Macaca mulatta: one gene and its partners. The protein of the gene in region 1 interacts with the protein of each later gene in a biochemical or structural test. Links are inferred from orthologs where the notes say so. Each region holds a gene or a part of one and is shown in the gene's direction. Other genes may lie near its edges. The genes, in order: CDH1, JUP and CTNND1.

Evidence for each region.
Region 2: the proteins of CDH1 (region 1) and JUP form a complex in vitro, tested with the Homo sapiens proteins (2 studies listed by BioGRID). The link is inferred for Macaca mulatta from reciprocal best matches to the Homo sapiens genes CDH1 and JUP.
Region 3: the proteins of CDH1 (region 1) and CTNND1 form a complex in vitro, tested with the Homo sapiens proteins (5 studies listed by BioGRID and IntAct, with this or other methods). The link is inferred for Macaca mulatta from reciprocal best matches to the Homo sapiens genes CDH1 and CTNND1.

The regions. Positions count from the first base shown.
Region 1 is NC_133425.1:64,334,087-64,337,730, forward strand, and holds part of CDH1 (cadherin-1), read left to right. Parts: intron 1-668; coding exon 669-783; intron 784-3,644.
Region 2 is NC_133421.1:66,113,922-66,118,287, reverse strand, and holds the start of JUP (junction plakoglobin), read left to right. Parts: upstream 1-1,534; 5' UTR 1,535-1,637; exon of another isoform or gene 1,638-4,299; intron 4,300-4,366. UniProt on the Homo sapiens protein: Common junctional plaque protein. The membrane-associated plaques are architectural elements in an important strategic position to influence the arrangement and function of both the cytoskeleton and the cells within the tissue.
Region 3 is NC_133419.1:15,586,405-15,590,048, reverse strand, and holds part of CTNND1 (catenin delta-1), read left to right. Parts: intron 1-606; coding exon 607-760; intron 761-1,636; coding exon 1,637-1,705; intron 1,706-3,154; coding exon 3,155-3,282; intron 3,283-3,384; coding exon 3,385-3,535; intron 3,536-3,644. UniProt on the Homo sapiens protein: Key regulator of cell-cell adhesion that associates with and regulates the cell adhesion properties of both C-, E- and N-cadherins, being critical for their surface stability.

The DNA.
Region 1 (3,644 bases):
CAGTGATGGGAGTGGGGCGTGGGTGGTGAGGGGCGAGCGCGGCTTTGCTGCCCCTCCAGCGCAGACCGAGGCGGGGGCGTCTGGCTTCCGAGTCCGCGGGGTGGGCTTGGGCTGGCGCGGGGGTCGTGGAGCGGGGTGTGGGGGGTGGGGTGTGGAGAAGGGGAGCCCCGGTGCAAGTCGAGGGGGAGCCAGGAGTCGTGGGCACGATCCTCGAGGGAAGGAGAGGGGCATCCGTAGAAATAAAGGCACCTGCCATGCCAAGAAAGGTCGTAAATAGAAGTGGGAGTCCCGGGGATAAGAAAGTGGGGTCGAGGGAGGTGGGAGCGCCCCTCGCTCTAAGGAGTGGTGCATTCCCGGTCTAAGGAAAGTGGGGTTGGGGAGAATAAAGACATCTCCAATAAAATGAGAAAGGAGACCGAAAAGAACGATGGGCTAGGTCTCGAGGGGGTGACTCGGCGGCCCCCTTCCGGGAGTTCCTGGGGGCTTGGCGGCCGTAGGTTTCGGGGTGGGGGAGGGTGACGTCGCTGCCCGCCCTGCCCGAGGTTGGGGGCGGGGGTCCTCCCCCAATCCCGACGCCGGGAGCGAGGGAGGGGCGGCGTTGTTGGTTTCGGTGAGCTGGAGGGAACCCTCCGAGTCACCCGGTTCCATCTACCTTTTCCCCACCCCAGGTCTCGTCTTGGCTCTGCCAGGAGCCGGAGCCCTGCCACCCCGGCTTTGACGCCGAGAGCTACACGTTCACGGTGCCCCGGCGGCACCTGGAGAGAGGACGCGTCCTGGGCAGAGGTGAGGGCGCGCCGCCGGTGTCCCTGGGCGGAGTAGGGTGGGGTTGGAAAGGGGCCGAGAAATTGCACTCCCACACCCCTGGGTTGGAATGGGCAAGCTCTCTCCTTGGCTCAAACGACACCCCTTGGAATTTACACAGATTTGGGGATCCAAACGTTTACGACTGAGCACTGGTGGAGGGGGTAGCCCTGCCTGGTTGTTAACCATGTTATAAAAAAGCAGAGGTTGAGGGCACTTACTAGAAGCCTTCGTATTTCTCTTATTGCCCTCAGCACTGTAGAGACAGTGTCCCATTTCAGACTGCAAAAACCTGGTGGGTGGGAAGGCTCCGGCAGGAATATTCCCGTTTTACAGATGAGCAAACCGAGGCTGAGAGGGTGACGTCTACTTGCCCAGGGTCAGCAGAGCAGGTATCTGAACTGGGACCTGACTCCCAAGCCCCATTAAGCACCATCTCTGGGATGACTGAAGAGCAGCTCTCTCTTGGTTACTGGGCTGTGGCTTTTGTTTATAGATATTAAAGCTTTTTTTTTTTTTTTTTTTTTTTAAAAAAAAGGGTCTTGCTCTGTTTCCCAAGCTGGAGTGCAGTGGCACAATCACAGCTTACTGCAGCCTCCATCCTCTGGGCTCAAGTGATCCTTCCCACCTCAGTCTCCCTAGTAGCTGGTTATCACAGGCATGTGCCACCATACCTGGATAATTTTAACTTTTTTTTTTTTTGAAACGGAGTCTCGCTCTGTCGCCCAGGCTGGAGTGCAGTGGCCGGATCTCAGCTCACTGCAAACTCCGCCTCCCGGGTTTACGCCATTTTCCTGCCTCAGCCTCCCGAGTAGTTGGAACTACAGGCGCCCGCCACCTCGCCCGGCTAGTTTTTTGTAGTTTTTAGTAGAGACGGGGTTTCACCGTGTTAGCCAGGATGGTCTCGATCTCCTGACCTCGTGATCCGCACGTCTCGGCCTCCCAAAGTGCTGGGATTACAGGCTTGAGCCACTGCGCCCGGCCAATTTTAACATTTTTTTAAGGCTGGGCGCAGTGGCTCACACCTGTAATCCCAGCACTTTGGGAGGCCGAGGCGGGTGGATCACAAGGTTAGGAGTTCGAGACCAACCTGGCCAACATGATGAAACCCTGTCTCTACTAAAAAAAATACAAAAATTAGCTGGGCATGGTGGCGTGCACCTGTAATCCTAGCTACTCAGGAGGAGGCAGGAGAATTGCTTGAACCCAGGAGGTGGAGGTTGCAGTGAGCTGAGATAGTGCCACCGCACTCGAGCCTGGGTGACAGAGCAAGACTCTGTTCCAAAAAATAAACTAAAATAAATTTTTTTTAGAAACAGGAGTCTCTCCATGTTGCCCAGGCTGGTGTCGAACTCTTGGGCTCAAAGGATCCTTCTGTCTCAGCCTCCCAAAGTGCTGGGATTGCAGGCCTGAGACACTGTGCCTGAACCAAAATACCTTGTTACAGGTACTGTTTCCCCCAAGAAATAATGATTTTTTTTTTTTTGAGACAGAGTTTTAATCTTGTTGCCTAGGCTGGAGTGTTGTAATGGTGTGATCTCAGCTCACTGCCACCTCTGGCTCGCAGGGTCAAATGATTCTCCTGCCTCAGCCTCCTGAGTAGCTGGGATTACAGGTGCCCACCACCATGCCCAGCTAATTTTTTGTATTTTTAGTAGAGAAGGAGTTTCACCATGTTGGCCAGGCTGGTCTTGAACTCCTGACCTCAGGAGACCACCTGACTCAATTTCCCAAAGTGCTGGGATTACAGGCATAAGCCACCATGCCTGGCCAGGAATAATTATCTTTTTTTTAAAAAAAAGCATGGTAGTTCTGACTCAGGATGAAAATGCATACACCCAATGTACTTCTAGGCTTATCTTTGTGATAATCTAGAGTTTGCTTTGTTCCACTCCACTGTTGTCCAGGGAGCAAGGGAAGGGGCTAGTTTCTCTTCTGAATTCACTGAATCCCGAGTGCTTACTTTATATCAAACCACTTTCTCCTCTCTCATGATTTTAGTTGATTGGATATCACAATAAAAGGCATATTTTTTTTTAAGGAGAAATCACCCACAATTCCCCTGAGGGAACACCTCCATTGTGTCTATTCTTCTGGTCTTTGACCACATGAATCTTTAGCAATCATGCTGTTGTCTTTAAATTTTTTTTTGAACTTGGAAGTCATTCGAAGTTTTTTACAGAGAAACTACAGCTCGACTGATGAAGTATATTTGCTCTGTGTGCTCTAGAGCTTTCTATTGGATCAGAAGTTATCTAAAACTCCTGGGCTCAAGTGAGTCACCCACCTTGGCTTCCCAGAGTGCTGGGGATTGAATATTTTGATGTCAGTAGGCATTGAGGAGCGTTTTCTTGGGGGAGGCAAGCTTGATCTAGCCTTGGAGAGCAAGGCAGGGGCTAGAAACGAGCTTGTATCTGAGCGTGTGTCTGGCGTGGCCCAGTGCTAAGGCTGGTGATTTTGTTTTCCTGCACCAAGATACTTGGTAGCACCAAGGGTAGGTTGGTCTGGTTTTTATTTCTCCCTTCTAAGCTCCTGTGTCTGACCAATAATGTTATTACATATTAACACTAATATGATAATAATTAATAGTGACACATACTCACTTTTGCCTCAGACTCTGGGGCAAGTGCTTCACATATCTTACCTCATTTAGTCTTCACTAGAACATTAGGAGCGTGGGCAGTATTATTCTTCCTACTTTGTAAGTAAGGAAACTGAGGCATAAAGCAATTCTGTAATCTGATCCACAGTTGGTCTTTTCTCTTCCTTTTTCCCCTTGTTTTTCACCTCAATAACCTGAAAAAACAAAAACAAAAAAGGTGTTTGGGGAATTAGTGTCCAGC
Region 2 (4,366 bases), on another chromosome or scaffold:
AGCCACCACACCTGGCCGAGAAGTTCTTTCTGATCTCTACCCCAGGCTCTCCTATCGTGGAGGGATGTGCTACCCAGTTTCTTTTTTTCTTTTTCTTTTTGTTTGAGATGGAGTCTCACTCTGTCACGCTGAGGCCGGAGTGCAGTGACATGATCTCAGCTCACTGCAACCTCCGCCTCCCGGGCTCAAGCAATTCTCCTGCCTCAGTCTCCCAAGCAGCTGGGATTATAGTTGCCCGCCACCACGCCCAGCTAATTTTTTGTATTTTTAGTAGATATGGAGTTTCACCATATTGGCCAGGCTGGTGTTGATCTCCCGACCTCAGGTTATCCACCCACCTTGGCCTGCCCCGTTTCTTTCATGCCTGGGTTTCTTTCAGATCTGCTGCTTGATGTTTCCAAACCCATCAAAGCCTCCTGACACCAATACTGTATTTTTGTGCCAATTAATTGTTCTGTCTCTCCTCCCAGTGTTTGTGCCTTTTCTCTGCCCCTTCCCCCATTGCCTTGACATTTTATGTCTATGCATTTTATGTTCCATGAAGGGAACAGCTGGTTCGATGGTCCTTCAAATGAGAAGGAGGTTCTAGCTTGGGGTGTGCCACTTTGTAGTTTTGTGACTTATCTGAACCTCGGTTTCTTCATCTTTACAATGAGGGTCGTTTTCTCATCTTAACTATTTTTTCAGAGCTGTCACAATAATTAAAACAAAAATACCATTAATTTAAATTCTAACCTTTAGCAGTTTCCGAGTGCTTTCACAAACCTGACTTCATTTAATCCCCACATACTCCAGTGAGGTAGATACGGCTAATGTATCCAGTTTACAGATGAGGAGAAACAGGGTGAAGTAACTTGTCTAAGATCATACTAAGTGGGAGAACACAAACCCTGGCCTTCTAATTCTAAATCCCAGGAGTACTCCATCTTTGGGGGGAAAAAATCCCAACCCAGCACAAAGCCTATGAAATGCTATACAAATATGTGATTACTACTTTGGGGCAAGGATGAATAAGCCCAAAGAAGCATCATGCTTGACGCTGAGTTGGCTGGCCGGTGAAGGCGTCTGTCCCTTCCCTTAGTATCCCCTGACTTACCTGTTGGACAGGTAGGGGGAAGGGGAGAGTAATGAGTCTCACCTGCTCAGAGCAAGGGTGGGGCAAGACACACCCCATCCCTTCCATTGGTTTTTTCCTTAGTCTTACTGACAGCCCCTTGTCCAATCAGGAGGAAGTAACTTTCTATCTGCCAATAGGTGCAGTGTTAGGATGAGACCTCAAGTTAGAGTCCATCCCTAGAGCCGACTGGCAGTCCCTGGGGCCAATGGCAAGCGGATAAACAGAGGCGGCCGTGGAAGAGGACTGGAGGTGAGGCTCCGCCCCTCGACGGGACAGTCAGGCGAGACAGCCAGTGAGCTCGCACCAGAGGGTGGGCGTCACCCCCAGGGGCGGAGCTTCGAGGTGGCGAGGGGCGTGGCTTGGCTGTCAGGTCTCTTTGCCTTTTGTTCGGTTACTGAGTTGCTGCCTTGGCCAGAGTCCGGAGCAGCCGCCGCCCGACCACGCCGAGCTCAGTTAGCTGCCTGCGCCGGCTCCCACCCCGGCCCGACCCCGACCCGGCCCGGCCAGGCCCCATACTAAGGTGCGGGCGATTGGGAGCAGGTATCGCTGGGGAGAGAAGGGGTGGCGAGCGCCCGCGAGGCCGGTCCCTGCCGTCTCTGGGCAGGTGAGGGCGGGTGCCATGGAGCGCCACCCTGCACCGGCGGCAGGGGGCGCGCTGGGGTCCTGGGCGCGGCGACCTGGGGGTCGCGCGGTTTGGGCAGAGCGCGCCTGGGAGCTCCGCGAGCCAGAGATCTGAGCAGGGCGGGAGGGATCCGGACAGGTGCCTCCGGAGTCGTGCCTCCCCCGGGGCCCGCGCCCCTCGCCCGACGCCGCGTCCCTGACTCTCGCCCTGAGCTGGTGGGGGAGACTTTGCCCTGCTTTGACTGCGTCCCAGGGCTCACGCTGCAGTCAGGAATTTACCGTTTGGGAAACTTGCTGTCGCTGGTCTCTGGGGCCACTCTCACCCCACCCCACGCGTCATCCTCGCTTTCCCTCCCTCCCTACTCCCCCAGGCCTGGGTGGGGCCCTATTGTCTGCGCCCAGCTTGCCCAACTGTGGGGGCCGAGCACACATTTTCCTAGCGACGCTGGCCCCACCTGCCGAGCAGGTGAGCGCACGGAGTCCAGAGGCCCTGCCCTCCAACTCCCAGAGCCTCGTCCATACTACCTGCGGCGCCTCCCTCCACTCCGGTGGGAGCCGGGCTCTGGCTTCTTCAGCGGAGGTGGGATGGAGTGACAGTGGTGGGTGCAGGGCTCGACCCAGTGTCCAGCTGGTGTGTCTGGCATCCGTGGCTCGCCCTGGAGTCTGGGGGGTGGGGTCTGTGCACGGATGAAGAATTCAGGGTCACCTGGCCCAGTTTCCAGTAGCTGTGGTTGCTAGAGTGTTGGTAGGGGAACAGGACCCGTCTTCTTCTCTAACCTCTTATTGTTGGAAAAATCACCCAAAACAAACTTTGCAGGAGGAAGTATTCACAGCAGCTTGATCTGGGGGTTTTCCTGTCTCCTTGCCCAAAACTTCCTTTAGGCTTAGGGGGTCCTTCTTGGTGCAAAGCCCCTTCCCCTAGCCGGCCCCTGGCTGAACCTGGGCGGGTGCCTGCGCTCCGACCCTGTCTTCCCTGCCCCCACCTTCATCCTCTTCGCTGGGCCCCAGGGGCCTGAGGTGGGGGCCGGGGTGGGGGGTGGAAAGTGCTGAGAGGGGAAGCAGCTTCTTCCTTCTCTTCCTGCCTCCGGGGACCACCACACCCCCTCAGACGAGGCCTGCGTAAGCGGCTCTCTCTCTCAAGCTCTGCCCCCTCCCCAGGAATGGGGGTGGGGCAGGGCTGGGCCAAACTGAGGAAGGTGGGGGGAGTGGTTGTTCTTGTCTTTTTTTTTTTCTCTACCCCATCCCCCACATTACTTAGCTGGCTGGTAATTGAGGCAAAAGAGCATGAGGCTGTGGGACTTGCCTTCCATTTGATTTCTGAATTATGAAGGTGCATGCTTTCTGGAGGCCTGCACAGACCTTTCCCACCCCCTTTCCTGAAAGAATTTGACAGGGAAAGTGAGACCGGAGGAAGGCTTTTTGGGGGAAGGTTTCTTCAGTGCTAGACTCCCTCAGGCAGAGCTGCATCGGGCCCCTGCCTTCCCTGCTCCCAATTTCCTGAGACCCCCCCTACCCTCCCGAATTGGGAATCTTGACCAGGCTTTCTACCCCGGTTTAAAAAACAATCTGAAGTGTGGTCTTTTTGCAGGATTTGGAGCCCAGCCTCCTTGGGGAACAGAGAGAGAATACCACAGTTGGGTTCTCTCTCAGTCCTGGGGGTGGGAGAAAGATTGCGGGGAGCGGGGATGGAGAGTGCTTGGAGGGGGAGAGTCTACCACCTCTTTCTTTGTTGTAGATGGGGGAGTGAGGCTGGGGGCCCAGACTCAGCCCCTTTATCCTGGGTGGGGATCACGCTCAGCCCGGGGCTAGGGGGAAGTCAGTGTGGGAACTCAGATCCTTTTCTGCTGGAGGAGGGGGGCGGTGCACCTCTGGGGAGCAACAGGAGCACGGAGTTTGGGCAAAAATAACCTGCTTTCCCTCTTCTCCCTGCCAAGGTGGAGGAGGGGAGGGCATTGTAATTATGTTGGCTAAATGATTAGTTTAGCTAATCTGGTTTGTGGCTGTGATGAAAAGATAATACTGAGGAAGTACTACTAGGAGGTGCCTGGTGAAAACTGGCCACTGACTGGACTGGGGGACGCGGAGGAGGAGAAGGTAGGACCCAATTAGTCATTTCTTGCTAGATCAAGCCCCAGCTTGGGTGATTTGAGCCCTCCCACCCCCACTCCACCCCTCCCTTGCACCCTGGCTCCACTCCATTCCCTCTGGAACCTCTGGGCTGCCAGGGCTGAGGCTTTGAGAATGCAGTGTATAGGAACGAAAAAGGTCGGGCTAGGGCTGCCAACCTTCTTCCCTTCCTGGAGCCACCTTAGAATGAGATCGGTCAATTGACTAGTCTACAGAAGGACTGTTTATTTGGAGAGATGGGACAGTGGGGCAGTTCTGAGCACAGGGCTTTGGGCTTGAACTGAGCTGGGTTTGAGAACCAGCTCTGTCTCTCATTACATTGCCTGAGTCTCAGTGACTTCTTTGGCAAAATGGGAATACAACACCTATCTACCCGGTAAGTACTTGACAAATGGTAACTCAAGATCAAGGTCAGACTTTACAGAAACCAAGCACTTTCTTTTTCTTTTTGTTTTTTTTTGAGGTGGAGTCTCGCTCTGTCACCTAGGCTCACTGCAACCT
Region 3 (3,644 bases), on another chromosome or scaffold:
GTCTGGCTCTGTCGCACAGGCTGGAGTACATTGGCATGATCTCGGCTCACTGCAACCTCTCCCTCCTGGGTTCAAGCGATTCTCCTGCTTCAGCCCCTGAGTAGCTGGGATTATAGGCACCTGCCACCATGCCCAGCTAGTTTTTGTATTTTAGTAGAGACAGGGTTTCACCATGTTGGCCAGGCTGGTTTTGAACTCCCGACCTCAGGTGATCCACCTGCTTCAGCCTCCTAAAGTGCTGGGATTACAGGTGTGAGTCACTGTGCCCAGCTTTTTTTTCTTTTTTTAAAAATCTGTCACCTATATATTTTAAAGCTGCTTAGCTGTCTTCCAAAATTGTACATTGTCTAAGTAGTAAGAATGATGATCCAAGTTTCAGTCACACACCAAATAGTGGCAGAAGCCAATAAGTCCATAGTTGGGCCTTCCATTAGCCTGAGGCTACAGGGATTTCAAGAAGCCTGGAGCGCTTAAGAGGCATCCTGAGAAGTTATGGATTGGGTTATGCATTTGAATATCAACATTTTAATACCTGAGTCATGGAAACCTGTGGAGAAATCACAACATTCTTTTTTCTCATTGGCCCTTTTATCTTGTGTACCTAAGCTTGTAGAAAACTGTGTTTGCCTCCTTCGGAACTTATCATATCAAGTTCACCGGGAGATCCCACAGGCAGAGCGTTACCAAGAGGCAGCTCCCAATGTTGCCAACAATACTGGGCCACATGCTGCCAGTTGCTTTGGGGCCAAGAAGGGCAAAGGTGAGTCTTGGTTCCTGTTTCTTACTCTTTAATGTGGGACAGGGAAAGGAAGGAACACTTTAGCTTAAGATACAAAATACTTGGCAAGCAATATGGGAGTCTGCCTGGTTACAGATGTCTTTTTGCTTTGCTGCTTCTCCTGTGTTGTGTGCTTCATTCAAGGTTTGGTGGTGGGGTGATGGTGGTGGTGTGTTGGTGGTGATGGTGGTGGTGGTGGTGGTATCAATGAGTGGGGCAGTGGAAAATGAGAACTCAACTAATCTGGGACCTTCTTCCCCATACGTCCTTTGCATTTTCTGTGTTTTTCTTTTCTTCTCTGTGCTTCCCTGCTTATTTGCCCATGATTCTGCTGACATCTTTCTCCTGCATTTTTCTTATTTCTTTTCTCTTCTCTGCTTTCTGCCTTGGGTGATGCACTGGAAGATGAGTGGTTCTCCAGAGGTGAGTGGAGTCTTTTAAGGTGCTTATCTACTTCTAATTTGCATGTTTTGGTTTTAGCTTCCCTAGTATGTCCTTGCCTAACCTTTCCCTGTCTATGCATGTAGGAAAGTTCAGTTGAGGAAGACACTGAAACAGGTTTAGCTCTTTGGAGCTAATAGCTCATGGCATGCTGTTTCTGGGCAGCAGTCCCCATTATCAGAGCTCAGGACAATAGCATCAACAATGGTCATCCTCATCTTACCTATCTGCTGCCTGTTTTCTATCCTTGTTTCTGAATAGTCCCCTGCTGGAACAAGTTGCCCCCACCTGCCCTTTGTCCCTCGTGGTGCATCTGTGATCAAAAGGTTCTGACCGAAGAATGAAAAATGTGCCAGGTGGAATCTTTTCTATTTTAAACTGACTTACCCCTTTTCCTGCCCTTTTTCGTTTTTATAGGGAAAAAACCCATAGAGGATCCAGCAAATGACACAGTGGATTTCCCTAAAAGAACGAGTCCAGCTCGGGGTAAGTTATCTTCTCAGTCTCCAAAGGTCTCATAAACATAGTACAAAGATAAGATATTTGGTAACTTAACAGCAGACTTTATGTAATATGTTTATTGTCCTCTCTTTTCCAACTTACAGACTGAAATGATTGTGAAAGTATTGGGAAGCTGTATAGTATTACAGCAGTAACTTACAAAGGACTACTTGTTAAGGCAGTTATTCAGGTTACTTGAGGATAGAATAAGGTCCTGATGGTAGTCTAGAGCAGAAATTTGGGAACCATAAATGACCACTACAGTGCCTGAGACTTAAACCTCACTTTTAAAAGAAGCTCCTTTACTAAGAAAGATACTTTTTAGGTTGGGGGCAGCAGCTCATGACTGTAATCCCAGCACTTTGTGAGGCTGAGGCGGGCAGGTCACCTGAGGTCAGGCGTTTGAGACCAGCCTGGCCAACATGGTGAAACCCTGTCCCTACTAAAAATGCAAAAATTAGCTGGGCATGGTGGCGGGTGCCTGTAATCCCAGATACTCTGGAGGCTGAGGCAGGAGAATCGCTTGAACCCGGGAGGCGGAGGTTGCAGTGAGTTGAGATCGCGCCACTGCACTCCAGCGTGGGCGACAGAGACTCGTCTCCAAAAGAAAAGAAAAGATAATTTTTACACTTTACTATAAGAAATTTGGATCTTTATATTCATCAATACAGTGAGTCCAAAGTTCACAGCTCTCCATGGATATAAAAATTATAAACGTTTAATCTGTAATGGACCGTCGTAGTAATTGCAAAGATGGGAAGAATGACTGGGTTAAGTTAGAAATAATTGATTTGAGATGAGGAATTTTTAACCTTGAGTGCTGTCAATGAGCTAAATGGAGCCCCTGAGCGCTCATGGTAGAACCAAAGGCAAAGCTATGGGAGAGGAGGCAAGAAGGAAGGAAAGAGAGGAGTTGAGTATAATGAGTTGATATTTGTTCCAATCTTACCATGGATTCATTAGTCTTTTTTTTTTTTTTTGAGACGGAGTCTCACTCTGGCTGGAGTGCAGTGGCGTGAACTCGGCTCACTGCAAGCTCCGCCTCCCAGGTTCACGCCATTCTCCTGCTCTTAGCCTCCCGAGTAGCTGGGACTATAGGCGCCCGCCATCACGCCCAGCTAATTTTTTGTATTTTTAGTAGAGACGGGGTTTCACCGTGTTAGCTAGGATGGTCTCAATCTCCTGACCTCGTGATCTGCCCGCCTTGGCCTCCTAAGTGCTGGGATTACAGGTGTTGAGCCACTGCGCCTGGCCTCATTATTCTTAAGACATGGAATTTGGCCTCTAAATTTGCTGTAGAGAGTGTGAGAGAGTTTAGGGAACCTGATGGTATAGAACATCAATCGGGAGTATTAAGGCTGAACTCCAGCCAGCTAGAGCCTGGTTTATTGGTACTGATTAGCACCTTCTGCCTTCTTTTTCTCTTTTGTGCAGGCTATGAGCTCTTATTTCAGCCAGAGGTGGTTCGGATATACATCTCACTTCTTAAGGAGAGCAAGACTCCTGCCATCTTAGAAGCCTCAGCTGGAGCTATCCAGAATTTGTGTGCTGGGCGCTGGACGGTAAAGTACCTTTTAGAAAATGGATTTGGAGATGGGAAAACTTAGATAACTAGTTTGCTGCCATTTGTAATTTGTTCTACCCCTTTCTATGTGCTATTCTAGTATGGTCGATATATCCGCTCTGCTCTGCGTCAAGAGAAGGCTCTTTCTGCCATAGCTGACCTCCTGACTAATGAACATGAACGGGTGGTGAAAGCTGCGTCTGGAGCACTGAGAAACCTGGCTGTGGATGCTCGCAACAAAGAATTAATTGGTGAGGAGTTGAATGCTAACTATTACCTCAAAATTTAGTACAGTGTTTGTAGTCCAGCAGATGCCTATAATTTATTGAATTTATTGAAATGACTGAAGGGAAGGACCCT